Linked DNA regions of Mus musculus: region 1 is reported to be linked to region 2. Evidence: microRNA targets listed by miRTarBase, many of them from high-throughput screens and not tested one by one. Region 2 holds a microRNA gene; the other region holds the end of a gene's coding sequence.

Region 1 (5,525 bases), not on the chromosome of region 2:
AGCCTCTGGGCCCAAGTACTGTCTCCAGCTTTCTAGGTGTCAGCCCATGTGGGTACAGCACACTCATGGATAGGGTTCTACAGCTGTTCTACTCTCCGTTCTGTGTGTGCGTGTGTGCGTGCGTGTGTGTGTGTGTGTGTGTGTGTGTGTGTGTGTGTGTGTGTGTGCGTGCGCGCGTGTGCATGTGTGCATGTGCACGTGCCTGTGTGTACACACATGTGATGGTCAGAGGTGGGAGCCAGTTTTCTTCTCCTGTATGGGTCCTGGGCATTAAACTGGTCATATGGTTTAGTGGTCAGAGCTTTTACTGCCTGAACTGTCCCCCAGCCTCCCTTAGTTTTCATGTAGTCATGGGTCTGTAATTTGTCAGATTCCTTTTGGGGCAGGGAGGCAGAGCAGGAGGTATTGGCTCTAGTTGGGGCTTAGCTTAAGCATTAATAAGCTTTGGATCTGACTCTTATGCAAGTAATTGTGCATTCAAATCCTGAAGAGCCAGTCAGACTCCTCAGACAACTCCATTGGTCTATAGAGGGCTGAAGCTCAGGGCTCTTAGCCTGCCATCCTCAGTCGTAAGGGGACCATGGCCACTTCAGGGCCTAGTGGATCAATGTTTGAGGCTCACAAAATCTAGGCTTTGAATTTTTTTAAAGATTAATTTTAGTTTTTTTTTTAAGACTTAGTGTATGCGTATGAATGTTTTGCCTACATGTTTGCTCTCAGCACAAGAGGGTCAGATGCCCTAGAACTCAGGAAATGGAGTTAAGGGTATTTGTGAGCCACTATGTGGGTGGTGGGAACTGAACCCAGGTCCATCTGTCGCAAGCCGAAGCCAGTGTTCTTCTTATCTGTTGAGCTGTCTCTCCTATTCTTTATTGTTGTGTGTATGTCTGGGTGTAGGTTTGCTCACATAAAGGTAGACCTCACAGAGTCCGCAAGGGGGCCTCTGATTTGGGGCTGGAGTTACAGATGGTTGTAAGCCACCCAATGTGAGTTCTGGGAACTCAACCTGTTTTTTTTTTCCCAAGAACAGTACGTGCTCTTGACCACTGACCCGTTTCTCCAGCTCCACGGTCTTATTTTTCAGGTGTCCATCATACCTCGAGGCAAGGGGCTTGGCTACGCCCAGTACCTTCCCCGCGAGCAGTTCCTCTACACACGAGAGCAGCTCTTCGACCGCATGTGTATGATGCTGGGGGGTAGGGTAGCTGAGCAGCTGTTCTTTGGTCAGATCACCACCGGAGCTCAGGACGACCTGAGGAAGGTCACCCAGAGTGCCTATGCCCAGGTGAGGAGCAGTGTCCCTCTGTGTGGCCCTGTGTGTGGCTGCCTTGGACACCACTTACCCCGGGCCCCTCCTATTCTTCAGATTGTGCAGTTTGGGATGAGTGAGAAGCTGGGCCAGGTGTCCTTTGACTTCCCCAGACAAGGCGAAACCATGGTGGAGAAGCCATACAGTGAGGCTACTGCCCAGCTCATTGATGAAGAGGTCCGGTGCCTCGTCAGGTCTGCCTATAATCGGACCCTGGAGCTGCTCACACAGTGCCGGGAGCAGGTGGAGAAGGTAAGTGGGGCCCAGGTTGGGGTGTGGACCATGCTGATCTCCGTGGGCCTACTTAGCTTAGGTTCTGTCATGGATCAGGACCACTAAGTGCATCCGGGTCCTGGGCACAGCAGCCTGACGGGTGGCCATCCTTTTCAGGTTGGCAGGCGTCTCCTGGAGAAAGAAGTGCTGGAGAAAGCCGACATGATAGAGCTCTTGGGCCCTCGGCCCTTTGCAGAGAAGTCCACCTATGAGGAATTTGTAGAGGGCACCGGCAGCCTAGAGGAGGACACATCCCTTCCTGAGGGGCTGAAAGACTGGAATAAGGGGCGGGAGGAAGGAGGCACTGAGCGGGGCTTGCAGGAGAGCCCTGTGTAGCCTGTGGCCACCGGGGCGGCTTATGACCACTGCTGACTGGGAGCTGCTCAGCCATCGCAGAGCAGCTGTCAGAGTAACTGAAAGACTAATTAAAACAGGTGACAACTTCGAACACACGTCTCAGATAAGACCATGCAAAATTCACAGAAAAGCTGCTAGACTCCAGCATCCAGCCAAGGAGATAGCTGAGGGAACAAAGGTGTGGCCTGCGACCATAGGCCCTGGACCTAAGGCTGGCCGGTTCTCCAGGTTCTGTGAAGCCTGAGTGATGTCTTTTTGGAGGGATTCCAGGTGTGGGGCTGTGAGGAGCTACATTGTGTTTGATTAAGTTTCCAAGTGAGCCTCTTACAGCTGCTTCTGAGGTAACCTGCTCAAGGGCTGAGCCCTGACTCAGCACAGATAAAGGTTGGTGAAGAAGTAAAGAAAACATAAGACAGTTAAGGAAGGAAGGCGAGCCGGGCAGTTGTGGATTAAAGGCAGAGCATGCCTTTAATCCCAGCACTCGGGAGGCAGAGGCAGGCTTGATTCCTGAGTTCGAGGCCAGCCTGGTTTACAGAGTGAGTTCAGGGCAGCCAGGGCTACACAGAGAAACCCTGTCTTGAAAAACCAAAAAAACAAACAAAAAACAAAAAAAATAAAAATAAAAAGGAAGGAAGCTGCTCAGCCCTTAGGAAGGAAAGCCAGCGCACCAGTAGATGTGCAGTGGAGGACAGGGACCGTGGCCACCCCACCTGTGGCAGCGTCAGAAATTCTGTTTCGTCAGTCAGACCTGGCTTCTAGCCTTTGGGTTTCTCTGCCTCACTGATGGGAGTGTCAGATTTAATTCCGTCTCACAGCAGTCCTTCCTTTCTCCAGCATCCATGCCCCCCCCCCTTTTGAACCACAGAGGGTGGTTTAGGTTGAGCCCTCTGGCTCTGGTGCATGGGGAGGGCTTTGGAACGCCAAGCCTCCGTGGGCTGCAAGAGGCCTCTCTTTCCTGTTAATCTGGGCTGTGTCGAGGCCTGCTCTGTGAGAGCCGAGTGCTTGGAGTGGAGCTTTGGGTTCCCTGGATGTTGTTGTGGACTTGCTCCAGGTTTCGGGGGGACACAGATCTCAGGGCTGCACCATCCGCTGCAATAGCCTGCGTTGGGGCTGCTCGTGGCCCTGGGGAGGAATCTACTTGCTCCCTTGACTCTGTAAAAGTGTGTGTGTGTGTGCATGTGATAGTGTGTCTTCCTCAACTGCTTTCTATCTCTACTGTTTTCCACTTACATCTGCACACGCACGCACCACGGTGCACATGCGCAGGGCACAGGACAACCTCTGGAGTCGGGGCTCTCCTCTGTGTGGGTTCCAGAGATCATCAGGCTTGGCAGAGGCGCCTCTACCCACTGAGCCATCTCGCCACCCAGTCTACCTTGCTTTTTAGATGGAGTCTCGTATTGAGTCTGGCTGTGTTTGCAGGTCAGCAAGCCCCAGGGATCCTCCCGTCTCTGCCTGCCCAGTGCTGGGATTGCAGGCTCACCTTTATCCTGGCCGTTCCGTGAACGATGCAGGGCTGTAGTGGATGTTCATGCTTGTGCACAGGCACGCTACCGACCCTCCTGCCTTTCAGCTGATGCCATAGCTTCCCGGGTGCCTGGCCAGGATGGTGGAGGCCTGTCCTTCTCTTTGGGGCCCGGCTAAGGGCCAGATTGGGTGGACTGGGTGTATTAGCTGGATGTAAAGACTATACTGGGTGTGCATGGTATCGCACATTCTCTAAACTGTCACGCTCGCCTCAGAGATGTCATCAGGAGACAGATACTTTCAATTTTCACTGTTTGTAAAGTGTACATTATTGAATTTTAAAAAAATTATTTCTAATTGTATGTGTATGGGAGTTTTGCCTGTATGTTTGTATGTATGTGTGTGTATGTACATGTGCAGCACATGCATGCAGTACCGATAGGGTCCAGAAGAGGGTGTCAGATCCTCTGGAGCTGGAGTTAACAGTTGTGAGCCACCATATGGGTGCTGGGTGTTAAACTTAGGTCCTCTGGAGGAGCAACCAGCACTCTTACCTGCTGAACCATCTCTTCAGCCTCATGTTATTGAATTTTAAACCCATATCATGGTGTCAACCAAATTATTCACTGAGCAACTCAGGGCCCTGGGGTCTTGTGTTCAGTTCCCTCTGATGAGGTGGGGTGATCCCTTGGTGCCCAGAAGGCCTGTGACATGGTAGACTCTGTGGTAGGGACTCCAGGACCAGCACTGACCTGCTGTTGAGGTTGCTACCTTGGCAATCTATGTGACCGACCAGTGGTTGGGCGCGGTGGGTGGCTGGGTTTGCCCTGTCTCCTCTGGGCTTCTCCTGAGGCATGTCAAGTGTCAGAACCTCCCATTTGGAGCATCTGGAGGAAGTGGGAATGGTGGGGACAGGCACAGTGTATGCCTTTAGCAGACTGAATACCATCAACCCCAGTCACAGCCATCTCCCACCCTTTGAGCAGACCTGGGGGCAGGCCTCCTGTGCCTCCCATTCCATTGGCTCAGCGTCCTCAGGTTGTTTCCTACCCACACCTCCACCTTTGATCCAGGTGCGCCCCCACCCTGTCCCCAACACACATACTCTGTCTTTCACAAGCTGCTGGTTAAAGAGCTGTAACATCCTCTTTCTTGCTCTTCTTACCAATGGAATCTCATCTATTTTACATGACTCATGGGTGTGCCACAGCATTTCTAGACAGCAGATCATGGAGCCCTGTGCTGGCGCTGTCCCACCTGCTGTGCTGACCTGAGAGTGCTAGAGGTCAGGGACATGCGATCTGAGCATCCTTGCCTGCTCAATGAGAGCAGCGAGGGTAGCCAGGGTCTCTGCCACCTCCCTCCTAGAAAAGGGGCAGGGAGGGATAAGGGTGCTTAGAATTTGCCAGAAGCCACACCATTCCCATAAAATGCACACGGTAGACCTGGCTGCCCCGAGCCTCCAGAAGTGGTCAGGCCTGGCTGGCTTTTATGTTCATCTCATTCCAGTGGTTAAGTAGCAAGGTTTGGGCTTCCCCGTGGCTTCCGGGCAGAGTGCTCCTTCGGCTCAGACCACCTCTGTTGACTGGAAGAGTTGGCAGGGCAGGATTTTCTTTCTTAGTGATTCCTTTTGTTGTATTAACTTAGGGGCTAGAAATCCAGGGCACTTGTCCCTAAAATACAACTCAAATAAGCACAGCCTGGAACTGCACAGCAGAGCTCCCATGGCACTTTGATGCCATCTAGAGGGACCAGAGGTCCAAAGATGACGGGGATACTTTAATCCCACTCTGTAACTGTGCCCTGTGGAAGCTGCAGCAGGAAGGGTGGATGGCGAGGGTAAGACCCTGGCAGGCTGGAGTGTGGCCAAGGCTACCTGGAGATGAAAAGGCAGCTGCTGGGTTGTATCCCTTGGAAACTAGGGTTGGTTTTCATTTTGGGAGACGGGCAGAAATAACCCACATTTGGGGGTCAGCAGTGCAGAGGCAGGGGGGCTCTGAAGAGGAACCTCCTGGATGCAGCTCTGCCCCCAGCAGAAGCCCAGGGCATTTTCTCCCCGGTAGCATTCACTGCAAATGACAATCAAAAGCCTTGTCCTCCTCAGAAGATGGTGGGCAGC
Region 2 (5,525 bases):
TTTTTAATGTCACAGATGTCTTGACCAAGGAGTTATGCAGTGAAGCTGCCAACCTTTTGGAGAAGGAGAGGACGATGCGTCTCAGGAAAGATACCTGTGGAAAGAGAGGCTTGTGAGTCCTTTCCCAGCTACTACCAGCGACTGTACCTATTCGCTGGTACACGTGAAGTCTCTGCTGCTAAAACAGAATTATGAGTACAAACAGCGAGGCACTGCACAACAACTCATACGCAACACAGAACTGCATGCGCATGTACCAACTGAGGCATGACTATACTGCTAATTACTACAAGGTGCTCTGTTTAATAGACAAATTGCCACACGCTGGGCTTGCTTTTCTCGCTTTAAGGTACAAAAATGGAGAGTAATTTATATGCTCCTCCATACCGCACGCACGGCTGCCTATGCTTACACTCCCTTCAGCTCACCCCAGTGCTCAGAGCACAGTGGTAGTAACAAGCTCATCTGCAAACACGTGTATGTTTCTGTAGGTAGGCTCTTGTAAAAGAAAAATCACTCTTTGTTTCCACTGATAAAGGGACGGACCCACTACCCTTGTCCCAGGCTGCCCTGGAGGCATTCAGGTTGGGGCATTTGGGCATTTCTGGATTAATGAGCATCTCCATGATAGAAAAGATACACACACACACACACACACACACACACACACACACACACACAAAATCCCAAAACTTCCAAATGGTAAGACTCATTCCCAGCTGGCACCTGGCACTACCACCAATTAAGAGTTTATTAATGTAGCTTACCAGCCAGATCAATAGAATCACATTTGTGATAGCTCCTTTATTTTTTGTTTTTGTTTTTGTTTTTGTTTTCAGGACAGGGTTCCAGGCCCTGGCTGTCCTGGAACTCATTATGTAAATCAGGCTGGCCTTGAACTCAGAGATCCACCTGCCTCTGTCCCCCAAGTGTTGGGATTAAAGGTGTGCACCACTGCACCTGGCTCTTTAGAAACAAACAACAACAACAAAAATGTGTGTTCATTGTGCTTATGTATATATTCGTGCCAAGACACATGCGGAAGTCTGAGGACAGCCCAGAGGGATCAATCTTCTCCCACAACGTGGGTTCCAGAATCAAAGTCATATCCACAGACTGGGCAACAAGCCCCTTCACCCATTGAGGCTCCTGCCATCATGGCTATCCTTTTATTTGCTATAGATTTGAAAATATGTATTCCATAAATACCATCAACCATGAAAACTACTCATGGCACAATGAAGGTAAAAGATGCCCGATATATGGTGTCTGTTTATAATATCAGATTATTTTTAAATTTTTTTTCTTGTGTGACTTAAAAGGGTGACTTTTTGAAACTACACCCTACTTTTCCACCTACCACCAAGGCAATTACCTCCATTCGACAGACAGAGACTCTTTATGGTGAGCCGGCCAGATCGATTCTGCTTGTACCTGGAGCAGGGCAAGAAAAAAAGACACATGTAGCTCAGTAACTGACTCCCCACAAGGGCTGCAGACGACCCCTAGAGGTGTGATGGTCCCAGAATACTTGAGTTTCCCATTATCTAAAGCTACGACACCTGTGCAGAGGACAGAAGTCCGGTTTCACTGACCTGTACAGCAGTTCCTGAGCAACGATATCTCCATAATCGTGAGACAGCAGGTTGATTCTGCGGTTCTGGAGCCCCAGGTGCCGCAGAAGGGACTCTACGATGCTGGCCTGCTCAAATATGGAGTACTGATGTGGTCTCTGAGGAAAGGAAAGCCAGAGATACAACATGATGTTAGCAGTGCCTGCCAGACCCTCATTTGTACCCACCCACCTACCCCCATCACGGACCACACCCAGCTGCTGCTTACCGGCTTGTCACTGAAGCCAAAGCCTAAGAAATCAAGGGCGATCACTCGATGGAACCTCAGGGTCAGCCCTTCCCAGATCTGTTAAGAAAGCAAGCATGGTGAGCACTCTGCTCCCACTGCCCAGCCCCACAGCAAACAGGCCTGCATGCCACTGTACGGAGAGCGTAACTCCAGCTTTAATTTGGCAGTGTCCCTTTCTGCAGTCAGTATTTTACTCCCCTTACAGTACATAAAAAGCAATTCTACATTTAATGAGATTTTATCAAACAGTTCAAATCTGCAAAAGAATTCTAGGGCTGACCAGAACAACAACAACAACAAAAAAAATATCTTGAGTTTTGAGTATTTTTTTTAGGACATAAGCCAGACCTAGAAACATTATTACCTTGTACCAGTCATAGCTGGATGTTGGAAAGCCATGTAAAAGCACAACTATCTCAGGGCTTCCGACCACACCGACAGAATCTAGGAGGAAAATGAGAAATGAGGCAAACTGCATGCAAGGCAGCCTTGACGACACCAAAATCTAATCCAGTCAAAAGGATCAGACTAAATGAATGACATCACCATGCTGTGTTAGAAAGCAAGCTGACAGGACTTCAGGAGCTTCCTCCTAATCTGCGCTTTTAAATCGTAATGGCATGCTTTACATGAAAACCCTTAAAACAGTTTGTTCATCATCACTTAAGAGTTGTGTAGACATCCTCATATTTTCGCTGACATTAATATAAAACTCAAATTTTTAAATAAAAAGGAAAAACAGTTAAAATACTATAATCACAGCAAGCTAAAACTTCTTTGTCCCTAATCAATATTTATCACACCTAATATCTAAGATGTGACAGTTCTTCCCAGTGGATCACCTGAGCTTATACCATTTGTCCATATACTAGCAGAATTCATGCAACTCAAAAAATCAAACTGTTACAAAGATGGGCTAATAGTGATGGGAACTTTTTCTGTATGTGACATATTTCAGATTATTCAAACAATAAAATACCTTGCCAACAGTACTGGATTGAAATTAATACTGCTAGTGGAATAAAACTTTGGTAGCATGTTTTCAGAAATTATTTAATTAAAAGCAATTAAAATATCATATACTGGATTTAACCTAAAGAACCTATGCAAATAAGATGTAACACTGAATATCAAGTCTGGGAAAGAACAACAAGCCAACATAAAAAAAAAAATGCATACTTACTCGACTGGCTATAACCCATGAGAGGGGGTCAGGAGCAATAATGAAAAACGGTTTACGAAAAACAAACATTTTTCGTTATTGCTCTTGACCCCCGCCCAAAAGAAATCTTTTCCAATCTGTTTCTCGGTTTCTTCAGCTATAAAATGAGGTTAATGGCACCTATCTCCAAATGCTGTTGTAAAAATTAAGTGAAAAATGAAATAATGAAGGTTAAAATATAACTGAATATCCTGAGTGTGGTAATTAAATAGCAGTCATCAAGTCAATCTTATCAGCTACATATAACAAATCACGGAAAATAGTGCATGAATTTGGGAATGGGGTGGGGCGTGGGGGAAACAAAGGTATAGATAGATCTCGAAATACTATATAGCTTACCTGACACTAGGGGCGCTCAAAAGAGAAAAGTAATTTCTCAAATACAAATGGGGCTGCAATTACTACCAGGCACAATTCTACCCCCACCTTCACCTCACCTTCACTGTGGAGCAACAGACCAAGGGACACAAAATAAGTAACTTCAGCTGAAACCTACACGACCCACGTCCTTGGGATTCTCCAATAGCCCAGTTCTCACCTTGGTAGAAGATGCGTAGGCCTTTGTAGGTGAAAAACTTGCCAGAAGTCTTCCATGAGTGCAGAGCAGGGGAGAGCTGAGGGGGCGGGATGTGCAGGTACGCAGCCAGCAAGGGCACAGCCAGGAGCCCTACTTGGACCCACCACTCTCTCATCCTGTGGAAAAAGCAGCCAAGGTAACATTGTACACTTCCAAAAATCAGAATGAAACATGGGTGGGAAACCTGGGCACTGTGAGGTTTGACCCCACCCCCCATCCCTCCCCTCCCCTCCCCACCCCTTCCCACTCGACCCCTCCCCTGCCCACTCCACCCCTCCCCTCCCCACTTCACCCCTCCCTTCCCCACTCCACACCTCCCCACCCAACGTGACAATGGCATAAACTTTACCAAGAAGAATGTGATAAACACCTTTACCCTTTGACATCTGGCAGTCACTGTACTAGCTCACTACCATTCTTTCCAAGCACATATGTAACTTACTGCATGGCCTTAAGCAGAGAGCTGCTCCTGGGTTCTAACACATACATATCCTCTGACCAAGTGAATCCCCATTTGGCACTACTGTCTGCATTTGGGCTATGGAACTGTTGAGGGGAGAGACCAGGAGAATTCCAGTAAGCAGCTTTGCCCTGACCCTGAATATCTAATCTCTTACAAGTCTGGGCAGCAGATTATATTTGTGCATTCTTAGCAGACTCTTGAGGTGGTTCCCTTTTATTTAATTAAGACCCCACCCCCACACCTAGCACTCAAGACTTTTGTGGGGGGGGGGGGCAGGAGGGGGGGGGAAGCACAGATTTGTGGCCCCAGCTTGCCATGCCTGGATTTCAAAGGTCCAGATCAATTTATCCTGGAGGCGAGAAATAAGGCACGATTAGAAACCATTTCCTTTGTGACCCGCCATGGTCACCAAGGAAAGGGTTCTCTAAAGAATTGGGATAGTGCCTCCTAAACTAAAGCTACAGACATTAGGAAGTGAGCTACAAATAAAACCGCTGTCTTTGTATTTGAGTGCACCCTATACATAACACATTACCTGCAATTTGATGAAACTGACTGGGTTTTTGTGTGTGTGGGGGGGGTGTTCTCTGTAAACCTGAAATGGTGGGTAAAAACCAGCACCCCTTAGGAACCTCAGCTGCCTGCCTCAACTTTAGTCAGCGCTGAGACTTTTTTTTCCTTCCTCCAAAGTCACTGTCCAATAAAGACACAAGGCTTTGGTTCTACCTTTTGAGGCTATACTAGAAATGCCTGGCACAGTGCCAGAACACGATGGTTTTTATCTCAGTCTGTTATCCACTAACGGGTTTTAAGGCTGAACCTCTTTGAAAAGCAAAAGCATTAGGTTTGGGGGAGGGGGGGGTCTTTTTGTTGTTACTGCTCATTTCCTCAGAACCCATTTGGTCCTGTTACCTGTTCATACATTTTCATGTAGCCTCTGGGGCATCCTTGCTGGACTCACTGAATCCGCAGTGACTCAGCAGAACGCCGGGGAGGGGCGCCTACTGCAGAGTGAACAGGGGCTTCCTGCTGGCGCAGGGAAACAGAGGTGCCACACCCACGCTCTCCGGACCATACCTCAGTGCACCTCCTCCATGCAGGAAAGGGGGGACAACCCCCCCCCCCAGCCATTCTCAGCTTTAGTTACCTTGGTAAAAATACCCCAAACATTTTAAGATTTTTAGCAGTCAAGGAAACTAGCAATCGGACCAAAAGGTTTAAACAATAATTTTTAAGTCCACTCTCTAATATTTGATGGTACCATGATTTAGAGCAAAAATTCAACACACTCGCACAACAAACTTTACGTGCCTTGATTTCTTACTGCTTTAAATGATGTAAAAACATATTTATCTAATACCACCAAACCAGCCCACCTGACTCATTCTTATTGAGAACTA

Evidence for each region. Region 2 holds the annotated microRNA mmu-miR-335-3p (UUUUUCAUUAUUGCUCCUGACC, at 3,073-3,094, opposite strand). A microRNA usually pairs through its seed, bases 2 to 8, with sites in the 3' UTR of a target mRNA and lowers its output. Matches are read on the target gene's strand: a 7mer-m8 pairs with bases 2 to 8, a 7mer-A1 pairs with bases 2 to 7 and ends in A, and an 8mer does both.
Region 1: the mRNA of Afg3l1 is a reported target of mmu-miR-335-3p. Seed matches in the 3' UTR shown: 7mer-A1 at 2,518-2,524.

What each region holds. Positions count from the first base shown.
Region 1 is chr8:123,500,149-123,505,673 of GRCm38, forward strand. Afg3l1 (AFG3-like AAA ATPase 1) reads left to right here. Exons shown (of 17, transcript NM_054070.3): 15 at 1,085-1,285; 16 at 1,367-1,561; 17 at 1,700-3,768. The coding sequence ends at 1,918. It also overlaps a transcript of Dbndd1 not described here. Among named protein-coding and RNA genes, the nearest start is that of Dbndd1, 13 kb to the right of the region's middle.
Region 2 is chr6:30,738,923-30,744,447 of GRCm38, reverse strand. Mir335 (microRNA 335) reads right to left here and starts at 3,149; the gene lies at 3,052-3,149. Mest (mesoderm specific transcript) reads right to left here. Exons shown (of 12, transcript NM_008590.2): 2 at 3,624-3,778; 3 at 2,228-2,307; 4 at 1,843-1,920; 5 at 1,596-1,732; 6 at 1,376-1,434; 7 at 54-94.